7 linked regions of the Macaca mulatta genome follow. The protein of the gene in region 4 interacts with the protein of the main gene of each other region in a biochemical or structural test. Links are inferred from orthologs where the notes say so. Each region holds a gene or a part of one and is shown on either strand. Other genes may lie near its edges.

What was found.
Region 1: the proteins of ERBB3 (region 4) and NRG1 form a complex in vitro, tested with the Homo sapiens proteins (8 studies listed by BioGRID and IntAct, with this or other methods). The link is inferred for Macaca mulatta from reciprocal best matches to the Homo sapiens genes ERBB3 and NRG1.
Region 2: the proteins of ERBB3 (region 4) and PLCG1 form a complex in vitro, tested with the Homo sapiens proteins (2 studies listed by BioGRID and IntAct, with this or other methods). The link is inferred for Macaca mulatta from reciprocal best matches to the Homo sapiens genes ERBB3 and PLCG1.
Region 3: the proteins of ERBB3 (region 4) and SRC form a complex in vitro, tested with the Homo sapiens proteins (2 studies listed by BioGRID and IntAct, with this or other methods). The link is inferred for Macaca mulatta from reciprocal best matches to the Homo sapiens genes ERBB3 and SRC.
Region 5: the proteins of ERBB3 (region 4) and SH2D1A form a complex in vitro, tested with the Homo sapiens proteins (2 studies listed by BioGRID and IntAct, with this or other methods). The link is inferred for Macaca mulatta from reciprocal best matches to the Homo sapiens genes ERBB3 and SH2D1A.
Region 6: the proteins of ERBB3 (region 4) and ABL2 form a complex in vitro, tested with the Homo sapiens proteins (2 studies listed by BioGRID and IntAct, with this or other methods). The link is inferred for Macaca mulatta from reciprocal best matches to the Homo sapiens genes ERBB3 and ABL2.
Region 7: the proteins of ERBB3 (region 4) and BCAR3 form a complex in vitro, tested with the Homo sapiens proteins (2 studies listed by BioGRID and IntAct, with this or other methods). The link is inferred for Macaca mulatta from reciprocal best matches to the Homo sapiens genes ERBB3 and BCAR3.

The regions. Positions count from the first base shown.
Region 1 is NC_133413.1:34,576,718-34,580,217, forward strand, and holds part of NRG1 (pro-neuregulin-1, membrane-bound isoform), read left to right. Parts: intron 1-2,920; coding exon 2,921-3,023; intron 3,024-3,500. UniProt on the Homo sapiens protein: Direct ligand for ERBB3 and ERBB4 tyrosine kinase receptors. Concomitantly recruits ERBB1 and ERBB2 coreceptors, resulting in ligand-stimulated tyrosine phosphorylation and activation of the ERBB receptors.
Region 2 is NC_133415.1:93,999,907-94,004,139, reverse strand, and holds the start of PLCG1 (1-phosphatidylinositol 4,5-bisphosphate phosphodiesterase gamma-1), read right to left. Parts: upstream 2,801-4,233; 5' UTR 2,733-2,800; intron 2,243-2,732; 5' UTR 2,122-2,242; coding exon 1,905-2,121; intron 1-1,904. UniProt on the Homo sapiens protein: Mediates the production of the second messenger molecules diacylglycerol (DAG) and inositol 1,4,5-trisphosphate (IP3). Plays an important role in the regulation of intracellular signaling cascades.
Region 3 is NC_133415.1:90,249,329-90,252,828, reverse strand, and holds part of SRC (proto-oncogene tyrosine-protein kinase Src), read right to left. Parts: intron 1,113-3,500; coding exon 1,014-1,112; intron 834-1,013; coding exon 730-833; intron 1-729. UniProt on the Homo sapiens protein: Non-receptor protein tyrosine kinase which is activated following engagement of many different classes of cellular receptors including immune response receptors, integrins and other adhesion receptors, receptor protein tyrosine kinases, G protein-coupled receptors as well as cytokine receptors.
Region 4 is NC_133416.1:63,230,624-63,234,671, forward strand, and holds the start of ERBB3 (receptor tyrosine-protein kinase erbB-3), read left to right. Parts: upstream 1-1,248; 5' UTR 1,249-1,378; coding exon 1,379-1,460; intron 1,461-4,048. UniProt on the Homo sapiens protein: Tyrosine-protein kinase that plays an essential role as cell surface receptor for neuregulins.
Region 5 is NC_133426.1:130,812,685-130,816,184, reverse strand, and holds part of SH2D1A (SH2 domain-containing protein 1A), read right to left. Parts: intron 848-3,500; coding exon 703-847; intron 1-702.
Region 6 is NC_133406.1:36,515,432-36,518,117, reverse strand, and holds the end of ABL2 (tyrosine-protein kinase ABL2), read left to right. Parts: intron 1-27; coding exon 28-1,751; 3' UTR 1,752-2,186; downstream 2,187-2,686. UniProt on the Homo sapiens protein: Non-receptor tyrosine-protein kinase that plays an ABL1-overlapping role in key processes linked to cell growth and survival such as cytoskeleton remodeling in response to extracellular stimuli, cell motility and adhesion and receptor endocytosis.
Region 7 is NC_133406.1:146,683,880-146,687,379, forward strand, and holds part of BCAR3 (breast cancer anti-estrogen resistance protein 3), read left to right. Parts: intron 1-2,549; coding exon 2,550-2,992; intron 2,993-3,500. UniProt on the Homo sapiens protein: Acts as an adapter protein downstream of several growth factor receptors to promote cell proliferation, migration, and redistribution of actin fibers.

The sequences.
Region 1 (3,500 bases), on a different chromosome or scaffold from region 4:
CCCTGTCTGTCTCTAATTTGCTCTTCCCCAGTTGACCTGACACATAAGAAAAAAATATGGGGAAAAACAGGTTAAAGAATCTATTGTTTATATTATTTTTCACCAAGTATTTTTCCTTGATCACATTCATAGTGTGGGATCACCTGATTGAGCCAAACCGTGAAAAATTCAAATAGCAATGTGGATGAGAGTTGTAGTGCATCTGGTCGATGCTGATGTGAATACAGGATTTTAATCCCACGTCTGTATTCTATGGGCCTTGGCTTGAATCAGTTTGTTTTAGTGCTGTTACATTACCCTTTGGCCTTTACTGAGCTACCTCTTTATTTCCATGAAATGATCATTTTACTGGAAAATGTGTGTCTGCCTACACAGCATAGAAAGAATGCACCCGTCATCATGCACCATATGTTTCCAAGCGCAGCTCAATCTATTCTTCTGTAATTAACAACCAAAAGACAACTTGTCCCAGGAATCCCTGAGAGTAATCATGATGCCTTTTTCCCATTTAGCCCTTGTCCATGTCCCCGTTTTTGAAGTTTGCAGAAGCAGTTTCCCAGCTTCTTTCTAAAGATAGGATGTTAAGATATCAGTAGAAAAGAACGACCACAGGCTTGCCCATCTCCAAAGAAGAAAACAGTAGAGTAAGGAAAAGAGGACAGTCATACAGGGCGTTCATCTCTTGGCAATAATACCTACACTCCTACTTCTTCACCAACTCCTCACAGCCCAAGGAGCTGTGCTCTGCGTCCTGGGTCCCAGGGAGAAGGACCAGTGGGGTGACAGCTCTGCTTCTTAAACATGTATCCTAAAACCTGATCAAGATACCAAGATCAGGAAGGGAGGCTACAGCAGCAGCATCAACCAGATACCCCATAGAAATTAATTCCCTGTCCTGTGTTTATGGGAGAGGGAAGGCAGCAGACACACGCAATTAACATATAAGCACTCACATTCCTTGTCCTCATCTGACTTTTGCTGCACATACAAAAAAATCTGTGACACCAATGCAATATTTCCCAGTACATTGTTTCACCGCAATGCACCAGCCGCTTCGCTTTCTAATTGTGGCTTCCACATGACTGCTAGCTTAGATTAGGAGTTATGCTGTATGGAATGACCCTTCCAACTTTGCATCTACCTTTTCTTCCCACCCAAGCATTTCCTCCCTCTGGTTTTCTTTTCTTTATTTATTTTTCCTCCCTTAGTATCAGGCATGCTGTGCCAGGGACTTCAGATGGCTCCTTAACTTTTAACCTTGTTTTCCCTTCCTTGGTCTCTCTGTCATTCTGTCAGTCTGTCTGTCCTCTTGGTTTGTTTTTCCTTTCCACCTCCTTTTGATTTGTTTTTGTATAATCTATGCAGCATTCTAGTCCTTTACCCACTGACTTCTCTTCTCCTTCTCCTCCTGTTAATAATCAGTGCTATATTAATTTGATTTGACAATGTTCTTGACCTGTTCACTGGAATTTGATTATCATGGGCTCGGCTTGTAGGAAATGTTTCGTTTCATGATAAGGTCCACTGTATCCTAGAAATTAAAATTCACTTTTTCATTTCAAGAAAACTTCTTGCAAGCTGCCCTCTCTCAAAAGAGAAAAAGGTGTAGTTAAAGGTGTAGTTGTGCCACTGCAGATGTAATATGGAAATAGGCTTTGCGGGTCCCTTGTTGATGTCCAGATAAGTCAGCTCTGTTTATACAGTATTCCCCAGTTCTTGACCAACTTATTGATTATAATGGCAAGTGAACAGCTTACACTGCTGTCGAGTTCTCTTTCTGAGTGAACTTGTGAAGATCTTCCAATAGATGTAATTAGACTCACTGGAAGCTCAGGTCCTAAGGGATCAGGGTCCCTATTAAATCAGCAAATCTTGTTAAGAACCTGACCTACCTTAGTCTAATCAACTTATCCCCCAAAGAAACTAATTCGAAAATAGAAAAACTTCTATGAATTAGAGACTGATTGCATTTTGGGTACAGTAGTATCTTTAGTTCAAAGTTCTAAGCATCACACTTCCTTAGCATAACCTACATTAGCTCATTTGCCAAGTTGGCCAATGTATGAATGTGAACTCTATTCCAAATCACACATCATTTGTACTGGTGACCTCTTTGGACAAATAAACTTGTTCCTAAGTCCAATTGGTGGAGTAATTAGAATTGTCTTCCAAAGGACAAGTCTCCACTTGGGCCCATAACTGTCCTACCCATCACATGGGATTTTCTTTGATACAGTGCCCTGATACGTCATATTGTATTGCTTCTTGTGTTCACATTTTACTGTTAAATCACAGAGAGCCTGACTCAATTTACTAGGTAACTACAAGCCAAGTTCATGTTTGCAAATGTCTTTGAATTTAATATATTTAAGTTAGAAATAACTCTTTGTAAAGACCACTGGATATAAAGTGATGATACAAAATAGCTGGGAAATACAAAAAGGCCAGGAGCTGGAGGATAAAGAAGGGAGGAAGGAGGAAGGGGAGACTCCAGTAATTGCCAATCCCAGCTCCTTTAATTGATGTTGATTCCTGTTGTCTTTGCAAGAGCTTTTTATATTTTATTTTGCAAGACTTCACAAAAAAAAACTACAGTTTTAACCAAATAGTTATTTTATAATTAATGTTTATGATTTCCAATTTACTATCAAATATATATATATTTATAGCTTATCATTAGAAGTAATTTTTGAGTATAATATTTGTATTGTAAATGGCCCCAGCTGGCTTTGTTATTTATGTTCAAAGCATAGTGCAGAGCATGTTGTACATTAGCTATGTGTGTAAACATAAAGAATTGTCATGTATTTATTTTCTTGTGAACATGGACAATGTCATGCAGCATGCCCACTGTTTGGTTGTAGTCAGTCTTGGCAAGTGGAAGTGACCTGTGATGATATCTGCTCTCATCCCTTTCCAGAGGCGGAGGAGCTGTACCAGAAGAGAGTGCTGACTATAACTGGCATCTGCATCGCCCTCCTTGTGGTTGGCATCATGTGTGTGGTGGCCTACTGCAAAACCAAGTAAACCTTCCTCCTCCATGCCTTTCTCTCTCCCTCATGCAGAGACAGCTTAGATGGCCAGGGCTTTGCAGAATCTGAGCTCCACAGCCTAGTCTTGGGGATAAAAAAAAAAAGGAGGGGCGGGGGGGATTATTTCCTCCGAATAATCCATTCAGAGCATGTCTCCTAAACACAGAATATTCTATTCATGTGAAAGTGCTGTAAAGATTTCTGTCCAATGACCACAGCCCCTGAATGGATAAAGGGCTGGAGGGACAGGCTTGTATGGAAGTTATGTGTATGGGTGGGACAGAGTGAAGGCACCTCATTCTAAAACGAGAAGGAAGGTAGCAAAAGTCCATTTGAGGGCTTTAGTATAGTCAAGTTATCCCCAAAAGAAACTAATATGCACCTAGAAAAACTTCTATGGGTTAGAGACTGACTGCATTCAGGGTGCAGTAGTACCTTTAGTTCAAAGGACTACTGAGAACAAGTCCA
Region 2 (4,233 bases), on a different chromosome or scaffold from region 4:
TTGAAGGGCAGCCATGGTCTATTGTTAATGTTATTACTAATAACAGCTCACATTTATTAAACATTTATGTGTCAGACAATGCTAGATATTTTTACATGAATTGTCTCATTTGATCCTGGAGCAACCATATATAGTGGATATATTACTACCCCCATTTTACAGATGAGGAAATCAAGACTCAGAGAAGGTAAGTAACTGGCTGGGAAACATACAACAAATATATGGGCTTCAAATCCAGACTTGCCATCAACCACTGTGCTACATTTATTGCCTGCTAATATGCATGGTTTAAAATGCAGTCTGTTACCCAGGAGATCTCTTGAGAACTTTCAGCCAGTGCCACCAACTCAACACAGCATAGGGAGCAAGGAAGGGGACCATGCCTGGAGTCTGATGCCTGAGTGACGTTCCCAGGATTATCTCAGCTCTTTGCAGTGCCCATCCTTCCTCTACTTTGGAATCCACAGGCTCTCAAGTCACTAAAATATTCTCCCAGTGGCTGACAGGGTCAGTGGGGGCACTGAGGAAGGCGGCTGCCATTTCTAAGTTGAGCAGCTGCGTTAGATCTGTGTCAGATCTGGAGTTTGTAGCTGAGGATGGCTGGCTGCCTCACCACAAGACCTTCCTTCCTCCCAATCTCCTCAACCATCTACACACATGCACACCATACCCAAGAAGGTTTGTGGGACCCCCCCTTTGGGGTGTCACTTCCTGATCCCCCTCCTTCACACAGACCTGGTTCTGAGCCCGGGTCTCTCTAACCCCAGTCTCCGGGGGTCCCTGCAAGAAGCAACCTAGTCTGGAGTTGCAGACACACCATCTCTTCACACTGAGAGGCGGGGGAATGGAGTGGCAAAGCAGAGTGCCCATCCGACCACAGCACAGGCACGCGCTAAGTGGAACAACTCTCAAAGATCTGGGGTTTTTCAAAATCCCCCAACTCCCTCCTCCCACTACAGACCAGCACAAAAGCAGCCAAGCTCAGGCCTGGGAAGGCGAAAAGGCAGGAAACCAAGAGAAGCCGCTCCCGCTCCCTGAAGCCACCGGACAGAGGACAAAGGGCTAGACTCCAAACTAGCTGCACTCCTGAGAAGAGTACCTGACTCCAAGGCGCTGGGGCAGGCCTTTATGGGGCCCATCTTCTGGGAACGTGCTTCCCAGGGCAAGGGGAGTCCCTGTTCTGGCACTGAGTGTCTGCCCACCCACATAGGCTTCCAAAACTCAGCTTTGGGACAAAAGTAGCATTAAAAACAAAACAAAACAAAACAAAAACAAAAAAAACAGCCACTGCCTTCTCTCAGGCTTCTCCAAACCAAACAAGACCACCTTCCTCCCTCTCCCCCAGAGGGAGATGAGTAGGCCCGGCTCTGCTCCAAGACCAGCCCTACCCAACATCTGCCTAAGTTCTACTTAGGGAACCCAAAGGTTCCTTTGCAACCAAGAGCCCAGCCTGGGGGCCCGGAGAGTTTCACAGACTGCTCTTTCTGGAAAAAGAGTGGTGGGCGGGGACCGTCTGGTCAGGCCCCAGGTTCCCGTGCTGGGTTGGGGCCGCTGCCTTAGCTCCCCTCAACGATGCCACCACCACTCCCAGGGTCTGGGGGGGCCCGATGCCCGCACCGCAGATCTCCAGCCCGCGAGGATTTTTAGGCCTCAGGGCAAAGCTCCAGGAACAGTAACTCCCCCCAGCTGGGGGAGGGGGTGTCCTGTCAGGTGACCGAGGACCCGGATGCCCCCCGCCCCCAGTGACCACCCGAGACGAAGCGGGGGCGGGGCCCCGAGGGGGTGGGGGAAGGCCCGAAAGTTTGCCCAAGTCGCTGGGGCGGCCGGCCGGGGCGCAGGCAGTTGGGCCGGGCTCCCACGACCCTAGCGCGCGGCGGGCCCAAGCAGGAAGGGGGCGCACTTACTGGCCCCCTCTATCTTGTCGGCGCCCCGGCTCCACGTGATCTGGCGCGTCTCCAGCTTGACCTGGAAGGTCTTCCGCTCGGGTCGCTGCGACTTCTTGGAGTAGAACAAAGTCATGACGGTGCCCACCTCGAGGCTGCGGCAGAGGTGCAGCACCTCGGCGTCCGAGGGCGCGCCGGGCCCGCAGCCGTTGGCGCAGGGGGATGCGGCGCCCGCCATGGCTCCGACGCTGGGGGCGGCGACGGCACAGGCCGGGACGGCCCGGGAGCAGGCGCAACGACGCCGGCTGAGGTTGGGGCTGAGGCTGAGGCGGCCGACGAGCGGGACCCGGCGGCTGCTCCTGCAGGCGGACACGGGGCGGGGCCTGAGCGCGGCAGGGCGGGGCGGGGCGGCCCTGAGGCCCCGCCCCGCTCGCGCGCCGGGAACAAAGGCGCCCGCGCACCCGTGGGGAGGACCCCCGCCCGCCGGCCCGCTGCGCCTGCGCCCCACGACCCCCAGACAGGCCGCAGGCGGGGACGGAGGCTCGATGGCGGCGGGAGCGCGCGCCGTTCCCGGTCGACCCACCCAGCCCTCAGTCCCGCAGAGCTTTCTCACGCAGCCCCGGACACAGCCCGGCGGCCACGAGCGGCCCTGTCACGCACGGCAGCCCCGCCCACAGGCCGCAGGCCCCGCAGCCGGCGCGCCAGTCAGGCGTACTCGCACGGGCGTCTGCCAGCCCGCGGTCCCGCACAGACGCAGCCCCCGCGTCCCGAACACCGCCCATGCAGCGACCAGGACGGGACGCGAGGAGGTGGCGCGTCCTCCGGGCATGCCTGGCCAAACCCAGTTACCTGGGCGGGCTTCCCGGCGAAGGGAGCCAGGCCGGGCCGCCTCACACCGGCGGTGGCAGCGGGTTCTCCGCGCGCCCTCTCCTGAGAGGGGCGGGGGCGGGGCCGCCTGCGGATTGGCCGCAGGCACTGATGGACAGCCGACATGTCCCGCCCCCCGGCAGCGCGGGGCTGGCCCCTGGCCGCTCTTGGGACGGCCAGACCCACGTCTGTCTGTTCCGCCTCTGCTGCCAGGGTGGCCTTCAGTGGTCCTTTCGTTCGGAGAGTTCCCCCCAGCCCCTTGCAGGGGCGTTAAGTCCGCGGCCGCGCTGCCCAGCGGCCTGACCTGCAGCTCCCAGGGCCTTTGTGTCTGTCCTTCGCATGGGCCTCTGTACGCTCCGTCTCCACGCGGCGGGACTGGAGTCTGATCCCGGGCGCCCCTCCTGCAAATGCTCTCCTGAACTTTGATTTTCCCCGCCTTACTTTCCTCCTCCTCCTGTGGCCGCTGCTTCTCGATCTCAGAAGCTTCTCTTCCTCTGCACTCAGTGCTAGGCCAGATCCCAAGGCGACCTGACCTTTCCCCTGGCTTTACCCGCCACACAGGCACCGATGACTCGAAACCTGCATCTCCCCTACGTTCCAGGCCCCAGCATCCCACTGCATGTGCCACATCCCCCCACCTTAGACAGCTCACCTTCCCTCCCCAAACGGTTCTTTCCAGTCTTCACTTTCTCAGAACGTGGCGCTAAACTCCTCTAAGTTGGAAGGCCAAAAACCTTGCAGATAACTTTGCTCCCTCTGCCTCACCTCCAATCCATCAAGATCTGTTCACTGAACCCACAAGCTGAAGGCCCCATCTCCTGTCACCCAGACTATTCACTTTTGTTTTGCCTGGATCTATTCTCCATGCTTTAAGTCTTTACAATGAAATTAAATAATGATCCCCTACATCCAGCCTAGAACCCTCCATGAATTCCTATTGCACCTAAAATCCACACTCGCTGCTTGGCCTAGCAGGTTCTATATGACCTGCCCATCTCACCAGTTTCATCTCTCACAAGTGATCCTTCGCTCTCCATTCTCCAGCCACAAGGCCTTTTTCTGGTTATGGAATAATTCATACTCTTCGTCTTTCTGAAGCCATTCTTGAAACTCACCCCTGCAATCTATCTGCCGCTGTCAGCACCGCCAAAATTGAGGACACCAACGGTCGCAGTGGAGTCTGATATGTTGAGCCAGGCAGTGGGTCGGCTGCCAGACACAGCAGGACAACTTACTGCATTTCAGAGGTGAGAAGCCCAACAGAGCTTCCAGCTGATGCCAGAGAAAGAGCCAGGCTTCCTGGGATTTGTGGGATAGTAGGACTAGAGTTTGTAAGTATGTAAGAGTGTGTGCTCAGGCAACCTACTCAGCTGGATAGTGACCTGGGGCTGCTGCTTCTGACTTTGTCTTGCTGTAGTGGAAACTTGTGTGTTTCGTTGATATCCTCAAGTGCATCCCCTAAGAAGCTCAGAATTCAGCATGA
Region 3 (3,500 bases), on a different chromosome or scaffold from region 4:
GCCCTCGGGCACCAGACAAACCACAACAGTCCATTCCCACACAGCGACACACAGACAATTCCACCCCACATGCACACACACACACACGCCCAGACGTACACACAGCATGCACACCCGCACACGGCCGCACAACTGTACGTAAATGCACGGCTCGACATGGATGCTCTGCTCCCCATCTCCCGCTGAGCCCCAGGCCCACAGGAAGCAGCCCAGCTTGGTTGCCATGGTGATGGGCGCCTGCAACCCACTCTCAGAGGGGCTGGAGAGAAAGGGGATGGTCTTCATTCTCTGGCTCAGGGGAGGGACATGAGAGGGGCAGGGATCAGGACTGCGGTTGGGGGAGGGCAAAGCCAGCCTCCAGAATCCAGTGCAGCCCAGGGACCCCTGGGGAAGGGGAAGAAGCAGGGCTCTTTGTAGCAGCACCTACCCTGGGAACAAGCCTGTTACTGTGTGACACTCAGAAAAACCTCCAGACAACCTATGCCCATCTTTCATTTGAGAAAACTGAGGCCAGAGAGGCTAAGCCTCATCTTTCTCTGGACATCTGGCCACCGCAGGTTACTCAGCGTTCCTCAAATGCACCTCCCTGACTTTGATCCTGCCGTTACCTCCACCTGGAAGGCTCTTCCCTCCCTACTCCACAAACCAAACTCCTGCTCATTCCTCAACACTCAGCTCAAACCACTCACAGAAGACTCAGTATCCATTGGCCAACGAGAGTGCTCGTACCTTTTGTGGTCTCACTTTCTCGCACGAGGAAGGTCCCTCTCGGGTTCTCCGCATTGAGCAGTAACCGCTCTGACTCCCGTCTGGTGATCTTGCCAAAATACCACCTGGGAGTGGGAGGACGGAGGATGTTGCTGACTGTCCGGGCTTCTGCCCACTCATAGCACTTCTCCCTGGATATGGCTGGGGCGCTGGGCAGCCAGACCTCCCACCCCAGCCCAGGAGAGGTGCTCTGCACCGGCAGTGTCCAGGGACGACGGGTAGAGGCAGCCAGAGACAGTACTCACTCCTCGGCCTGGATGGAGTCGGAGGGCGCCACGTAGTTGCTGGGAATGTAGCCTGTCTGTCCCGTGCTGAGCGAGTGGGCCAGCCACCAGTCTCCCTCTCTGAGCAGGGACAGAAGGAGGGAGAAAAGGAGAAAGGAGCCGTCAGCCACAAGCCCAGCACCCACCATCCTCCTAGGTGCTGTGCTCAGGGCTCTAGTGGCTGAGGGAGGCCCAGGGAGGTGGTGGGGCCAGCATGAGTCCCCGCAGCATGCCAGGTCCAGCTGGCCTGGAACTCCTCCCCTCCCTGGCCCAGACGCCTTTCTGCCGAAGCTGGATCAGATGGACTTTGTCTAGGACCAGGGCAGGACTGGCCTTAGTCATCTGAGGCTCAAATCCACAGGGGAGGAGTCCCGGGACAGGAAGAAAGTCGCTTCCTTTCAGATGTACCAAGACATCTCAAGATGAGGAGAGCTGCCTTGGGAGGGAGGGAGGGAGCCCCCTGTCTCTGCGGGCAAGCAAGGTTGTAATAGAAGAGACTCCTGCCTGAGAGAAAGTCAAGTGAGACTTGAAAGTGTCCCCATGCTCTGAGATTCGGAAGCCTGCTCCTGGGAGCTGGTGAGACCTGGGTGGAGGCAAGCAGGGCCCTTCTGGGACCCAGTGACCATCCAGGCCCCAACCCTGCAAACGAGAGCAAGGCTTGCCTCTGTCCCAAATCACGGGTCACACCTAAAGGGCTCCTCAGTTGAAAACTACAGGCCCCCTCCTCCAGCCTACCCATCTGCAGGGGGAAACTGAGGCCAGAGGGGGCTGGGACTTGCCCAAAGTCACACAGTGAGCCCTGTCAGAGGGGGTGAGGTGGCAGAGCCCCGATGCCCAGGGCACTTCTATGCGAAAGTGAGGAAAAGGGGGGGGGGCGGGTGATGGGGAAGGGGCAGGAGGAGCTCCCGGCGTGGTTGGGTCCCCTGGGCCTGGGTGGGAGCGGGGAGGGGCGGAAGTACCTTTGCAGCCATCTGAATGTGAACCAGGTCTGGCTGGAGCGGGGGTCCAGAGACACAGAGGAGGGAGGAGAGAGCGAGAGCCCAACAGGAGAGAAGAGGCAGAGATGGGGGTGGTGAGAGGCGGAGAGTGGCAGAAAGAGCAGGGGAGAGAGCGGGAGAGCCAGGCGGTGCTGGGGACAGGGGACGAGGGGGCAGCCACAGAGGCCTCACATCCAAAGCAACCAAGGGGACAGGGACAGGGTCCACAGGGAGTGAGGAGAGGTCAATGGGCAGGGAGACCTGGGAACTAGGGTCCAGCCCCCTCTCATTCCCACTGTACAGCTGGGAAGACTGAGGCCAGAGAAGCAAAGGCCTCTTTGCTCAAGGTCACACAGCCAGGCCGGGGCTCCTGACTCCCAGACAGAAGGAGTGCTCCCTACAGGGTGCAACAGGGCTTGACAGCTTGCTGGGCTCTTCTCAATCCAAGGCCACTTTTGCACTTCACCACGACCCTGAGAAGACACGCTGCAGGCAGGGTGGCCCCCACCCACCACCAGGGCCCAGAGAGAGAAAGGCCCTTGCCTACAGTCACACAATCTGAACTTGAACCTGGATCCCTGGCTCCCAGTTCTTCTGAGCTGCCCCTGGCCATATTCTTCAGCCCATATAGAAGATGGAGAAGTTGAGGCCAGGAGGGAGCAGAGCTTGGCGAGCTCTCCAGGGACCTGTCAGAGGACAGGTGAGCACCTGAGACCCTGGGGTTCTGCCAGAAGTGAGCCAGAGGGTGTGGTGTCCCCTCCTGATGGAGTGAGGCGAGGGCGTGTGACTGGGGCTGTGTGGCCTGTCTCGGCTCTGTGATGGCTGGACACACACTCAGGCAGGGAAGTAAGCTATGTGGGGTTACTGGAGGGAGGACCCTGGAGTAAGGGGGCAAGATCCACCTCAAGGAAAGAAGCCTTTGGATGTCCCAAATCCCCACCTACCTCCTTGTTGTATACCCACCCGGGGTGTCCACACTTGTCTCTCCCACTGACCCTCAAGGCCACCCTGCAAGGGAGGAAGGCAGGGCCCCCAGATGAAGAAACTGTGGCTCAGAAGTGTCAAGGGATCAGCGCAGGGGCACACAGCACCCAGGCCAGAGTAGCCCAGCACTTTATTTATTTATTTATTTGAGATGGAGTCTTGCTTTATCGCCCAGGCTGGAGTGCAACAGCGTGATCTCGGCTCACTGCAACCTTCACCTCCTGGGTTCAAGCGATTCTCCTGCCTCAGCCTCTCAAGTAGCTGGGATTACAGGCGAGCGCCATCAAGCCCAGCTATTTTTTGTATTTTTAGTAGAGACGAGGTTTCACCATGTTGGCCAGGCTGGTCTCGAACTCCTGACCTCAAGTGATCTGCCTGCCTCGGCCTCCAAAAGTGCTGGGATTACAGGCGTGAGCCACCACCCCCGGCCAGCACTTTCTTTAGAGAGTTGGGGAAACTGAGGGACAGAGAGGTGCAGGGACTTGCCCAAAGCTACAAAGCAAGGACT
Region 4 (4,048 bases):
CCTGTTTAAGGAATGTTAGCCGGTAGTCTTTGCTAGGCCTGAGGGGTGAAATTTTTGTTTATCAAGACTCAACTGTTTTCGAAGTCTTCAGGCTTGAAGTTCTGGGGAAAATAACTAGGCTCTCTGGGCGAGATCCCCAATACCAGTTTAAGGGATTTGAAATGCAAGGCCGTCTGGGACTCCACTGCCACAGGCTGGGCACCAGGCGGCGCCGGTCGGATCCGTCCCGGGACTAGCAGGGCTTTGGGCCAGTCCGGGCAGCTGGTGCTGGAGGTTCCAGAGGTCCACGCCATTGGTGGACGCAGTCTCTAGTGTCCTCTCCGCATCCCGCTTCACCGCCCCACCCCTTTCCTGCGCGAGCCTGGACTTGGAAGGCACCGGGGAGGGTGTGAGCGCCTTGGTGTGTGCCCATCTGGGTCCCCAGAAGAGCGGCGGGAACTGCGGCCGCATGGACGGTGCGGCCAGACTCCAGAGTGGAAGGGGAGGCAGCTGTTCTCCCAGGCGGCCGTGGGGGGCAGCAGAGGGGACGGCGACAGGTGCGGGAGCCCCTCCCGGGGTAGAAGTGGAAAGGCGGGCTCCGGGGTCTGTTCTCAGGCTGGAAACCACCCCCGCCCCCCATCCAAATCCCGGGAGAGGCCCGGCCGGCGCCGGGTCTGGAGGAGGAAGCGGCCGGAGACAGTGCAATTTCACGCGGCCTCTTTGGCTCGGGTTCCTGGGCTGGGTGGATGAGTTATGGGGTTTCGAGTCTGGGAGAAACTGAGGTGGCCTGGACGTGAGGCAAAAAACACCCTCCCCCTCAAAAACACACAGAGAGAAATATTCACATTCTGAGAGAAAATCCACCAAGTGAACCAACCGGCTAGGGGAGTTGAGTGATTTGGTTAATGGGCGAGGCCAAATTTCAGGAGGCTGGGCTTTGGAGCGCTTACCACTCCCTCATTCATTACCCTTCCCTGGATCTGGGGGCTTTTGGAATCTTGACCTCCCCTTGGCTCAGCTCCTGCAGAAAAATTAGGGTGAGCCCCATCTTCGATCTGCTCCGCCAAGTTGCGGGACCGCGGGGCGTGGCGCGCTCGGGGCGGGCAGTCGGAGGCTCCGCAATCCCTACTCCAGCCTCGCGCGGGAGGGGGCGCGGCCGTGACTCACCCCCTTCCCTCTGCGTTCCTCCCTCCCTCTCTCTCACACACACACACACCCCTCCCCTGCCATCCTGCCCCGGACTCCGGCTCCGGCTCCGGCTCCGATTGCAGTTTGCAACCTCCGCTGCGCCGCAGCAGCCACCAATTCGCCTGCGGTTCAGGTGGCTCTTGCCTGGATGTCCTAGTCTAGGGGCCCCCGGGCCGGACTCGGCTGGGCTCCCTTCACCCTCCGCGGAGTCATGAGGGCGAACGGCGCTCTGCAGGTGCTGGGCTTGCTTTTCAACCTGGCCCGGGGCTCCGAGGTGGGCAACTCTCAGGCAGGTAAGTGGCGCGAGAGCACTGGCGGGCTCGGCACCTGGGAGCCGGAACCCAGTGCGCGAAGCCTCTGAGGGCATGGGCAGGGTCTCAGGCGGCGCGGGGGTGTGGGTGCTGCCCCCGTACGCCGGACCACCTGGGAGTGGGGCGATCAGGCTCGGGTTATCGGCGTGGTCCGGCCGAGGGCGGCATTCTTGGACCCTCACGCCCCCTTCCCCAGAGCGTCGTCGACCCTCTAATTGGTCTCCCCAAAAGAGGCTGAGGCCGCAACAGTAGTTCACACTTCTGAGGGACCCTGCAGGGAGCGGGGCAGGGACCTTAATTCTATAAACAGGAGGTGCTTGGAGGTGGGGGCCTTGGCGGAAGGGTCTCGGTTTGCTCGCCAGCTTCCTGCCCGCCACCCCGCACCGATTTCTGCTACTCTTAGTTTCGTTGTTTTGCCGACAGGGCGGAGCTACGGAAGGTTGGAGGGGGTTGTTGTTCTCTAGTGTTGGAAAAACAGGAGCGGCACCTCCTCTTCCGTGAGTGAGCCTGCCCTGGGGAGGTCTGAGATTAACCAGAGGGCCAAGTTCAGGTGACATCAGGCGGGAGGCCCAACAGAGGCTGGCGCCCGCTTTCCTCAGAATAGCAGAGCTTGAGCAACATCTCTTTGTCAAGATCCAGGTCAACCCAACTCATATTTATTGAGCATCTACTATATACAAGGCGCTGGGCCAGGAACTGTAGGGGCAAGGATTGTCCAGCCTCTTGTCTTTTCTCTCCCCAACCGGAGGATCAAGAGGGCACCTCTACTACTTTCTAAGCCTCCTGCCTTGGGGAGTCCTACCTGGGCCCATCTTGTGCCCCCTGCCCCCATTTTGCTTATTGTCTGAGGACCCTAGACAGAGCCCTGGATTGCTCTTCTCCAGTCCTCCCCCGACTCCCATGCTATCTGAACCCACCCCTTTGGGGTGTCTCTGGGGCCGTGGACACCTGAGGTTTGAAGTTCTGTGGATTTCCTCCCCTCCCCCCAGATTTCAGCTTGGGATTTGGCACAGCCAGGGCCCCTTCCCCAGTGTGGGAGTGGAAGAAACCACCTGTGCTTCCCCCACAGTTGCTGGGCCTAAATTTAGATCCTGGGATTTTTAGATGTGAACACTCCCAGCTGGTGGAGGGGGGTGGTCTGGGGACTGGCGTGGGAGGGAGCAGTGGGGTGACTGTATAACTGTCCCATCCAGACTCCTGCAATCTTCACCCAGAAACCCAGGAGTACCAGAGTCTGGCCACCCTCCCTGGGTAGGCAGGAGGCAGGCATGGTTGGGTCTCTTTACCCTTTATCTGGGTCCTGCAGCCTCTGGGCATCCGGCCCTGTCTCAGTCCTTCTATAGCCCCTTTGTCCTGGCTGTGATGGGGGTGGGGGATGTTGGAGGGGAGGCTTCTGGTTGAGGAGGGGCTGGAGATTCTGGCTCTATCCCACCCCTAGTGCTCTCTACCAAAGGAGCGCCTGTGCCACTGCCCCTCCTTATGCTCCCGGTCCCTGGGTACAGGAGGGATTTTTATGATTCCCTTCCCCTGCCCTGCTCCCCAAGCTGCCTAGCTCCTCCCCAGACGTGTTGTTTGTGCTCCCTTCCTGCCCAGGCCCTTTGCCCCCTGTTTGTGTAATACGGACTTTACCCTCAGGGGAGCAGGGAACTGGGCTACCTCTAACACTGTAGCCTTCCAAGCACAGACACAAAGTCTGCACAAACACATATGGGCACGTGGGATAGATGGGGCCACCTGAAATACTTCCTGCAAGGAAACCCGACCACAGGTTCCTGGGCCAGCAGGACCAATGTGTATGTGTTCATGTGTATGTTGTGTGTGTGTGTGTGCCCACACTACTACTTCCCTGTGCAGAAAACTTGGCTCCTCCCTTATCTGGGGAGAAGGATTGGCACTATAACTTGGGAAAGGGGGTGTCCTGCCAGGAAGGGGACTGGGGTGGGGCTGTTCCAGAAATGACTAACCTTCCTAGTCTCTTTCATTTCAACCCAAGGACCCTGGAGTTACCAGCTCCTCTGGAACTAGCTCTCTTTGCTGGGACTAGCCAACCTTCATGGGGAGTGATAAGGAGCCCTCCAAGGTCAAGAATTCAGACTAGGGGTATATAAGAGGGATTGGGGCCTCACCAGTCTCCCTCCCTCCATTCCCACTGTTGCCTCCCACTGACTACCACTGCCTCAGGGAAGGGTGGCTGGAACAGGTGGTATCTACCCCCTATTCCCCACCCCACACGTGGTCTTTCGCTGAACCAGAAGAAAGAGACTGGGGTAGGGCTTCAGAGTCCAGGATTTTCCATAGCCCATTGTCCACCACATTTGCAAAGAGTGAACTCCCAAGGCTGACATGCCATGTGCCTCTAGTCTAGGCTTTCCCCTAGTGCGGGTGAGGATTGCCATGGTGAAAGGCTTTTTCATGAACCTCTTCTAACAATGAAATTGGGTGGAGGCTCAGTGTGGGGCATCTCCTACTATTTCTCTCCAGGTGTCCCTGTATTTGCTAAAAAATACTCTAGGGCTGGAAAGTGATGCTGAGGTTGCTAGAGTGTGTTGGGATAGGGAGACAGAGTGAGA
Region 5 (3,500 bases), on a different chromosome or scaffold from region 4:
TCATAAATATTTATTGTTTCAATCAAGGCCGATCCTCTTACTCCAAACAAATGATAAACCCCATTCAATAGAGGAGTAAACAGTCACGTATCAGATAGCTACAGACATTGGCTGGTATTCAGTCTTTAGCATGACACATACACTAAAATAGGTTTGCTCAGGATATGTAATAATTTGTGCCAGTGGAACAATAAAGTCTACTATTTAATTTCCTTTGCTTCAGAAAAATGTCATTAATTCAAGCACCACCGATTCAGAAACCAGAATCGTGTGTGCCAGGCTAACATTAGCTTTCATGTCCCTGTAGGAAAAAAAGTTTACTAAGCAAAGGTAAAGCACAGCTCAGGTGTTCTCTGAATTATACCATCTTTCACATTATTTGTGTCTGAATTAGTGAAGTGAAATGATACTTAGCTACCTATAAAAGGGACAGGAAAGAACAAGATGAGACAGACAAGAGCAGTTAAAACGTTATGGGCTTATAGAATTTTTGATGATTTTACAGTGATTTATTAAAAGTTTATAGAGTAATAGATTAAAATTATAGCACATAAATTGTCACCTCTCATTTGACTTGCTGGCTACATCTACTTTCTCATTGCATTTTTCTTACATAACTTCTAATTGATTATATGGTTATGAATAGGTTGACTCATAAATCTGAGCTTCCAAACCCTGTCAAAAATTAAGAGTAAATCATACCTGTAGTACCTTGTGTACTTCTAGCTGAGGACTTCTTCTCAACTGGATACTGCAGAGGTATTACAATGCCTTGATCTGGCTTCTGAAATGCTGAAATGAGATTTTTTATTTTCCGGAAATATCTTTTATGTACCCCAGGTGCTGTCTGGAAAATAAAAGGCCAAGAAAATTATTTACCTATCTCAAAATGATACAAAAAGACCTACAAAATGTGCTAGGGATGCTAAGAGAGGTAACAGTTGTGTAACTTGTTGAAATATTTGAAAACGTAAGAAAGAAGGAAAAACAACATTCCAGAAGAGTTTACTTTGGTTGGCTGAATTTCCCTGCAAGAGGAGCTAATGAGCTGTCATTTCAGTTCTCCCAAGGGTGGTATTAGTTTGTAGAAGCTCTTGCTCATCGCCCTGCCCTTCCTGCCTGCTCCCCATCAGACATCTCAAACCTCTAAGGGTATACAGGCCATTACCCACAATGAATTCACCAACAGAGGGGATGCAGTTAAACAGGAAAAAAAAAAAAAAAAACAGATCCTACAGGTCATTAATAAAAAGCCTGAGGAACAACAACAAAAGAAAAACCAACAACCCATCCTCCCTGCCATCATCCCACAATATAAAATGCTACACAGGAAATTAAAAATTGGCTGTTATGATACACACAGTGCACGGCTAGTTCAGTCCTCATACTCTTTCATCTCATAATATTTCCTGCGTCATTCTTCACATTAAAATTTTTCCTCCTTGGGAAACTTCCCTATACTCCCAAAATTATTCTCTTCATCAGCATGTCACTGTAACAAGGTTTTCTCTATGACATGAAAATGAAAGACTATATAAGGTCACCTTTATTTATTTGTGTATTTTTAAAGAGACAGTTATTTGCAGGTAACTATTAAAATGTATTCCTTTCCTGACATCAGTTGTCTTGCAAAGACACTGCCTGAAATCAACAACAATTTCCTGCAAAAGCTTATGAGCCAAGCTTCAGGCATCAGCTCAAAACTGTCATTTTACATAAAATAAAGTAGTATTGCTATGAGCAATTGAACAATGACTAGTATTTTTTTTTAAGTTGTTTTTCAGCTATTCCATCTGGAAGATTTTTGAGGTGGGAGCTGTTTGTTTTTTTAGAATTTAATGAGAAAACATGAAGGCTGGCATGAAGACTTCTGTCAGCTAGACAGCGGTATGCTGAAGATAGCATACTACACTATCCATAGTAACTCTCAGTCATTTCCTTATGTTGGGGTAATTTTTCATTGAAAACATGACAAAAATTCTCTTTAGCTCTATATTAGTGTTCCCCCATATGTTCACAGTAGATGTAGAACACTCTCTCACCCAGCTCCACCCCACTCTCTCACCTACCCTCCACCTTCCTAAAGCTTGATTGAGAACTCATCCAAAATAACATGGCCATTCTTGCAGAAATCCAAACAGTTCTTTGGTTCCAAGATAGAATCTCCAAATTGCAAATGCAGGCCATAGGCACAAATTGCCTCCTTATACTCTCCTCAGTGCACTTTTTCATTTGCAAAGCACATTCCTATCTCTTGCCTTCACTATTTCCTCACAAAATGGCAGTTATTGGCTTATTCAGTTATTCCCATTTGACAGATAAGAAAATGTGAATGTAAAGAAATTAATCAGCTTGCCCAAAGTCACACAGACAACCAGAGGCAGAACTGGCTCTGAATCCCAGGACCCAGTCTCTTGCCTTTCAGATTAGAACTGGGTCAAACAGGATCTAGCGAAGCTAGGGTCATCAACCAGAAGAGAAACTGTACACTCCCCAAGTGTGGAAAGATTTCAAACCACACATCTTTTTGGCTGTTCTTGTGGCTTGTAAAACCATTTATCAACAGAAGCATAGCCGGGCACAGTGGCTCACACCTGTAATCCCAGCTTTTTGGGAGGCTGAGACCAGTGGATCACCTGAATTCAGGAGTTCAAGACCAGCCTGGGCAACATGGTGAAACCCCAGCTTTACTAAAAATATGAAAATTAGCCGGGCGTGGTGGCGCACACCTGTAATCCCAGCTACTTGGGAGGCTGAGGCACGAGAATCCCTTGAACCTGGGAGGCAGAGGTTACAGTGAGCCGAGATCGTGCCATTCCACCACTCCAGCCTGAGCGACAGAGTGAGACTCTGCCTCAAAACAAAACAAAACAGAGAAGCATCATTTTTATGGGTACTGATATGTAGTTAACACTTGATTATCCATGCTAACAGAGAGGAATAATAGCACTGGAGGTATGGAAGCTATTTGAATTGGGGATCTGATGTTTCATAAGCAAATGACTGGCCTATTTTACAGTGTTTTACTTAGATTAATAAGGACAATTATTTAACATCTGCTGATCTCCTGATCATATACCCAGTAAAGCCTGAAGACAGTGATGTCAACAGGGTGACATCACTGTTGTGATGTCAGTACATTTTAAATAATGTATTGCCAACAATTCACATATTAATAAGGGAAAGTAGATTGTAGAATTATCTAAATTAACAATTTAGCAAAATTTTAGTCTGAGTCATATAAGATAATACACTAGGCAATGATTTAACCTAAAAATCTCTCTAAAACTAGAAATACACATGATATCTGTCTTTCATAATTCTGTGGGGCCAGGGTTCGATTTCATTACACTCTTTAAAACAAATCTCACTTACCTACATTTCTAGCACAATATATGCACAGATGATGGCGTGTTACTGCCCTGATTTTTCCTGCAGCATGGCAAACTAAAACATTGTTCCAAAAATCAGTATTAATATCTATCATTTACCCAGCTTTG
Region 6 (2,686 bases), on a different chromosome or scaffold from region 4:
AGTTACTGATCGGCCATTTCTCGTCAGGGTTCGTCAGAGGTGCACAGGCCTCCAGTGGATCCCCAGCACTGCCTCGAAAGCAAAGAGACAAGTCACCCAGCAGCCTCTTGGAAGATGCCAAAGAGACATGCTTCACCAGGGATAGGAAGGGGGGCTTCTTCAGCTCCTTCATGAAAAAGAGAAATGCTCCCACACCCCCCAAACGCAGCAGCTCCTTCCGAGAAATGGAGAATCAGCCCCATAAGAAATACGAACTCACGGGTAACTTCTCATCTGTTGCTTCTCTACAGCATGCTGATGGGTTCTCTTTCACTCCTGCCCAGCAAGAGGCGAATCTGGTGCCACCCAAGTGCTATGGGGGGAGCTTTGCACAGAGGAACCTCTGTAATGACGACGGTGGTGGGGGTGGGGGCAGTGGCACTGCTGGGGGTGGGTGGTCTGGCATCACAGGCTTCTTTACACCACGCTTAATCAAAAAGACACTGGGCTTACGAGCAGGTAAACCCACAGCCAGTGATGACACTTCCAAGCCTTTTCCAAGGTCAAACTCTACATCTTCCATGTCCTCAGGGCTTCCAGAGCAGGATAGGATGGCAATGACCCTTCCCAGGAACTGCCAGAGGTCCAAACTCCAGCTGGAAAGGACAGTGTCCACCTCTTCTCAGCCAGAAGAGAATGTGGACAGGGCCAATGACATGCTTCCAAAAAAATCAGAGGAAGGTGCTGCTCCAAGCAGGGAGAGACCAAAAGCCAAGTTATTGCCCAGAGGAGCCACAGCTCTTCCTCTCAGAACGCCCTCTGGGGATCTAGCCATTACAGAGAAGGACCCTCCAGGGGTGGGAGTGGCTGGAGTGGCAGCTGCCCCCAAGGGCAAAGAGAAGAATGGTGGGGCACGACTTGGGATGGCTGGAGTTCTAGAGGATGGAGAGCAGCCAGGCTGGCCTTCTCCAGCCAAGGCTGCCCCCGTCCTCCCAACCACTCACAACCACAAAGTGCCAGTCCTTATCTCACCCACTCTGAAACACACTCCAGCTGACGTGCAGCTCATTGGCACAGACTCTCAGGGGAATAAATTCAAGCTCTTATCTGAGCATCAGGTCACATCCTCTGGAGACAAGGACCGACCCCGACGGGTAAAACCAAAGTGTGCCCCACCCCCACCACCAGTGATGAGACTACTGCAGCATCCGTCCATCTGCTCAGACCCTACAGAAGAGCCGACTGCCCCGACTGCAGGACAGTCCACGTCAGAAACACAGGAAGGAGGAAAGAAGGCAGCTCTGGGTGCAGTGCCCGTCGGTGGGAAAGCTGGGAGGCCAGTGATGCCTCCACCTCAAGTGCCTCTGCCCACATCGTCCATCTCGCCAGCCAAAATGGCCAACGGCACAGCAGGTACTAAAGTGGCTCTGAGAAAAACCAAACAGGCCGCTGAGAAAATCTCAGCAGACAAAATCAGCAAAGAGGCCCTGCTGGAATGTGCTGACCTACTGTCCAGTGCAATCACGGAACCTGTGCCCAACAGCCAGCTGGTAGACACTGGACACCAGCTGCTCGACTACTGCTCAGGCTATGTGGACTGCATCCCTCAGACTCGCAACAAATTTGCCTTCCGAGAGGCTGTGAGCAAACTGGAGCTAAGCCTGCAGGAGCTACAGGTGTCCTCAGCAGCTGCTGGTGTGCCCGGGGCAAACCCTGTCCTTAATAACTTACTGTCATGTGTACAGGAAATCAGTGATGTGGTGCAGAGGTAGCCACTGTTAGCCTGGTGGGAAAATGCACACATTTCTGAGGGGAGAGGGAAAGGGACTTGTTTTCCTGTGTTCTTGTTTTCAGAAAATGAAAGACTCATACTTGAGTGTGTTTATGTGAAGTACCTCAGATCCCTGAGTTCTCACGTTTACAGTTTCATCTCAAAAATAAGAAGCAAACCACATAAGTATAGGAGAGGTAAATTAAGTGGGGGCGAGGCAGTCGTGGACAGGGTTGGAAACTGCACTGGAAAATAGGGAACATGTGTATGTCATAAGGAAGGCAATGCAGCCCATCCCTACCTGGGATGCTGGGAGGTGCTAGGCAGGGCTGCTCTCAGCAAGACCGCAGCAGCTGCACCCAGACCTGGGGCTCTGGTAGGTACCAATGGTGATTATGCTCCAATTTACCTAATGAATTTGGTGGGACAGAAGAAAGGAAAGCTGGGAATATACCCAGATAAATTTTTGTTCAGGACTGTTGGAAGCAGATGTTAGCCTTGCTTGCTTCCACAAGGCCATTGCTGCTGTAATAAGAACTGCAAATCAGAGCACTACAACACAAAACTGGGAAATGTGGCCCTACCTGAATGCCTCTGTCCTGTTTTCCGCTGGTGTATTAGTGCAGGAAGTAAAGAATGCTGGAAAGTTGAAGCAGGGGATTGAAAACCTTCTGAAATCTTACACAGATTAGCAGAAGTCACTTCTCCCAGTCTGGTATATTATTTCATAATGGACCAGGATCGGCTTCCTGCTTGTTGGTGGCTATCTGTAAACCATAAGTACAGGGGTCTCCCTAGTGGTTCTTCTCTGTCTTTTGCTGGGCAGGCTGTCTTCCTTTATTCCTGGTAGCATTCAGAGCATTAACCAGTGTTGATTTTGAAAATAGTAGTCCCTGCAGATTCTCACAAGGGAATGAATCCTGTTGGGATACAGTT
Region 7 (3,500 bases), on a different chromosome or scaffold from region 4:
AGCAACCGGAAGAACTAGGAGGGCGGGGTATGGCCCAGGTAATTGAACTCTTGGCCAGCTGCCAGCAGCCTCAGACCATTTTGCAGCCCCTCCTTCTCAAGGCAGTGGCTTAGCTTCGGGAGGAGAGAGGGCGGTGGCCCAGACCAACAAGGCTGCCTCTGGCCCGGTGAGCTGGCAGTTATTCACACTCTCCATGGCTTCCCTGCTGGATCCCGTGACCAGAGGTGGGGAAGAAGGGGAATTAAACCCATGACCACAGACTCGTGGCCCAGAATATACTGTGCGATCGTCATTTGGGTGATTGCCATGAATAATGTTTTTTCATTTAATACTGTAAAAATTGAAAAATAGAGTAAGTCCGCAGAATTGAGGCATAGAATTTCCCTTGGGTTTTTATTGTAAACCTGACCTGGCCAATCATTAACCAAGGACAACATGACAGGAAATGTGTGGACAGGGGCTGGGGGGAAGGGCATCATGTCTTAAGTTTTTTTTTGTTTTTTGTTTTTTTTGAGACAGAGTCTTACTCTATCGCCCAGGCTGGAGTGCAATAACACGATCTCAGCTCACTGTAACCTCTGCCTCCTGGGTTCAAGCGATTCTCCTGCCTCAGCCTCTCCAGTAGCTGGGATTACAGGTGTCCACCACCACGCCCTGCTAATTTTTATATTTTTAGTAGAGACAGGGTTTCACCATGTTGGCCAGGCTGGTCTCGAACTCCTGACCTCAAGTGATCCACCCACCTCGGCCTCTCAAAGTGCTGGGATTATAGGCGTAAACCACTGCGCCCAGGCTTTTTTTTTTTTTTTTTTTAATGTATCAGATTTCTTGGCACAATCAAATAATTATTATTCTGACTTTTTTTTAAGTTTAAAATTGATTGTAGAAAATATACATAGCAAAAAGAAGGAAATTAAACTCATCCATAATTCTCCTCATAATTCTCCTGGGGATAACCATGATGAATACTTTTGTGTACAGACATCACCCCAGGCTTTTTGAAATCAAGTATGAGATCGTACTGCATATACTTTTTTGGTAGCCCATTCTACTCACTCACTGTGTCCTGGGAATTTTCACCCACTGTAGAATATTCTTCTGCACCAGACTATGTTGTATGTCTGTCCACGGTATGCATGCACCACAATTTATTGGACACGTAGAGTGTTTCTAATACTTTGACCAACATCCTTTATGATTGCTATGTTCATACCTACAATTATTTTCACAGGCTCAATTCTAAGAAATGAAATTTCTATGTGAAAACATTTTTAAGGCAAAGATGCAATTTTAAAGTAACCATGGTAGCCTACTCTTTTGAGCTAGCAGAAGTATGCTGTTGATCAAATATTGGAATGTCCCAGAAAAATTGTCAGAATTATAAAACTGATGACTATCACCACTGTCCGTCTCCTTATCATGGTCATCAAATTTGTTTATTACTAGCCATGAGTATTAATTTTCAGTGATAAATCGTTCCAAACTGGATAACTGAACACTATAACCATAACCATAATAACAAGTTATTGCTAACATTTTAGCCCCTTAAATCTTTATAGCCATTCCGTAGGTAATATCATCATTTGTGTTTTTCAGATGATGTAAGTGAGCCACAAAGAGATTATGTAATTTGTCCAGAGTCATACAGCTGAGCCAGGATGCAAACCCAGGTGGTCAGGCTACAGGAACAGCCAGGCTGTACCACATTATAAATTCTTCAGTTGCTATAAGCAGCAGCATCATGCTAGTTAACTATTTTTGAGCATCCACCGTGTTCCAGCGCTTGCATATGTTATGTATACAAATACATAACCCTCATAGTAACTGTAAGATGGACCCCAGCCTGACTTTGTTCCAGGCCTCCTAGCCAGTAATTGGTGTGTCCAGAATCCATACCCTAGTCCTGCATGCAGAGTCCTCCTCCCCATTGGCCAGGCCTGGAGAGGGGCATCTTAGGAGAGGGCCCCGAGGACGACTTCTGGACACCAACAAATACCTTCTTTCTCCTCACTCCACTTGTTGGGGAGGGAAAATCAGGCCTGCCAGGCACACGTTTTCTCATTTCTTATTTCCTGTTGCATTACGTCATTCAGGTCCGTATAAACATCATGTTCTTGTGACACCTCCCCAACCACCCTGTTTTACTGGACAGCCCTCATCCCCTCCCCAGCACTCCCTGCCTCCTTTCCTGGTTCACTTTTTCCCTGAGCTTACAACTGGCGTGCATAGCTGTTGGTTATTTATCCTCACTCAAACAGAAGCTCCCACCAAAACCAGGAGCTCCATGAGCTGGGCTCTTCGGTGCCGCTGTCACCACCGCATCCCCTGAGCCTGCAGTGGTTCTTGGCACGAGTAGGTGGTCAATGAACACAAGGTGAATGAATGATTGGATCTCCTATGAATTTGGTATTTGAAAAACTAAAGAACTGGCCCAAGAAGAGACATAGTAGCATTGTCTTCTGTTGGCCCAGAGAAGTGGGTAGCCATAAGCTTTTAGAAGGAATGTGAATTTGCCTTTCCTACCCCTCACTCACCTTTTTGTCCCAAAGGTGTCGGAAAACCTTGTGCAGCGAGATGGCGACTTCCTAGTTCGTGACTCTCTGTCCAGCCCTGGGAACTTTGTCCTGACCTGTCAGTGGAAGAACCTCGCTCAGCACTTCAAAATCAACCGGACGGTTCTGCGGCTCAGCGAGGCCTACAGCCGCGTGCAGTACCAGTTCGAGATGGAGAGCTTCGACTCCATCCCTGGCCTGGTGCGCTGCTACGTGGGCAACCGCCGGCCCATCTCCCAGCAGAGTGGCGCCATCATCTTCCAGCCCATCAACAGGACGGTGCCCCTGCGGTGCCTGGAGGAGCGTTATGGCATCTCCCCAGGCCAGGCCCGGGAGGGCAGCCTCACCGAGGGAAGGCCAGACGTGACCAAGAGGCTGAGCCTCACCATGGGTGGCGTCCAGGCCCGAGAGCAGAATTTGCCCAGGGGAAACCTCCTCAGGTAGGTCAGGGTCTCCTCCTCAGGACTATGAGGGGCGCCGGGGGTGCCCAAGGTTAGTTAGGCAGATGAAGAATTCATCATGGAACAGAGAAATAAAAGATGTTAATAGGAATGCTGACTGTTCGCGGAATAGCAGTCATGAGGCAGTGCACGATCAGCTCCTAGCCGAGCAGGGCCAGCAATGAATGGTACAGGAGCTGAGGAAGGATTGTGGGGGCACTTACAGGGGAGACCTTGTGAAGGGGGTAGGCTTAGGCTGGTCTGATGACTGGGGGAAATTTGGATAGATGCTGTAAAAGGCAGGGGGTGTTCCAGGTGGGAGGCACAGCATGGGCATAAGTGTGGGGACAGAAAATGCCACGAAGAGCTTGCAGTGAGTGTGCTGATGGGGCTGGAACAAAGGGTCTGTGCAAGGGACCTGTAGCAGTCGGCTTAGGGAGGTAGCCCCAGCCATATCATGGGGGCCTTAATGCCAGGTGCAGGGCTTTGAGGGAGCTGCACAGATTCA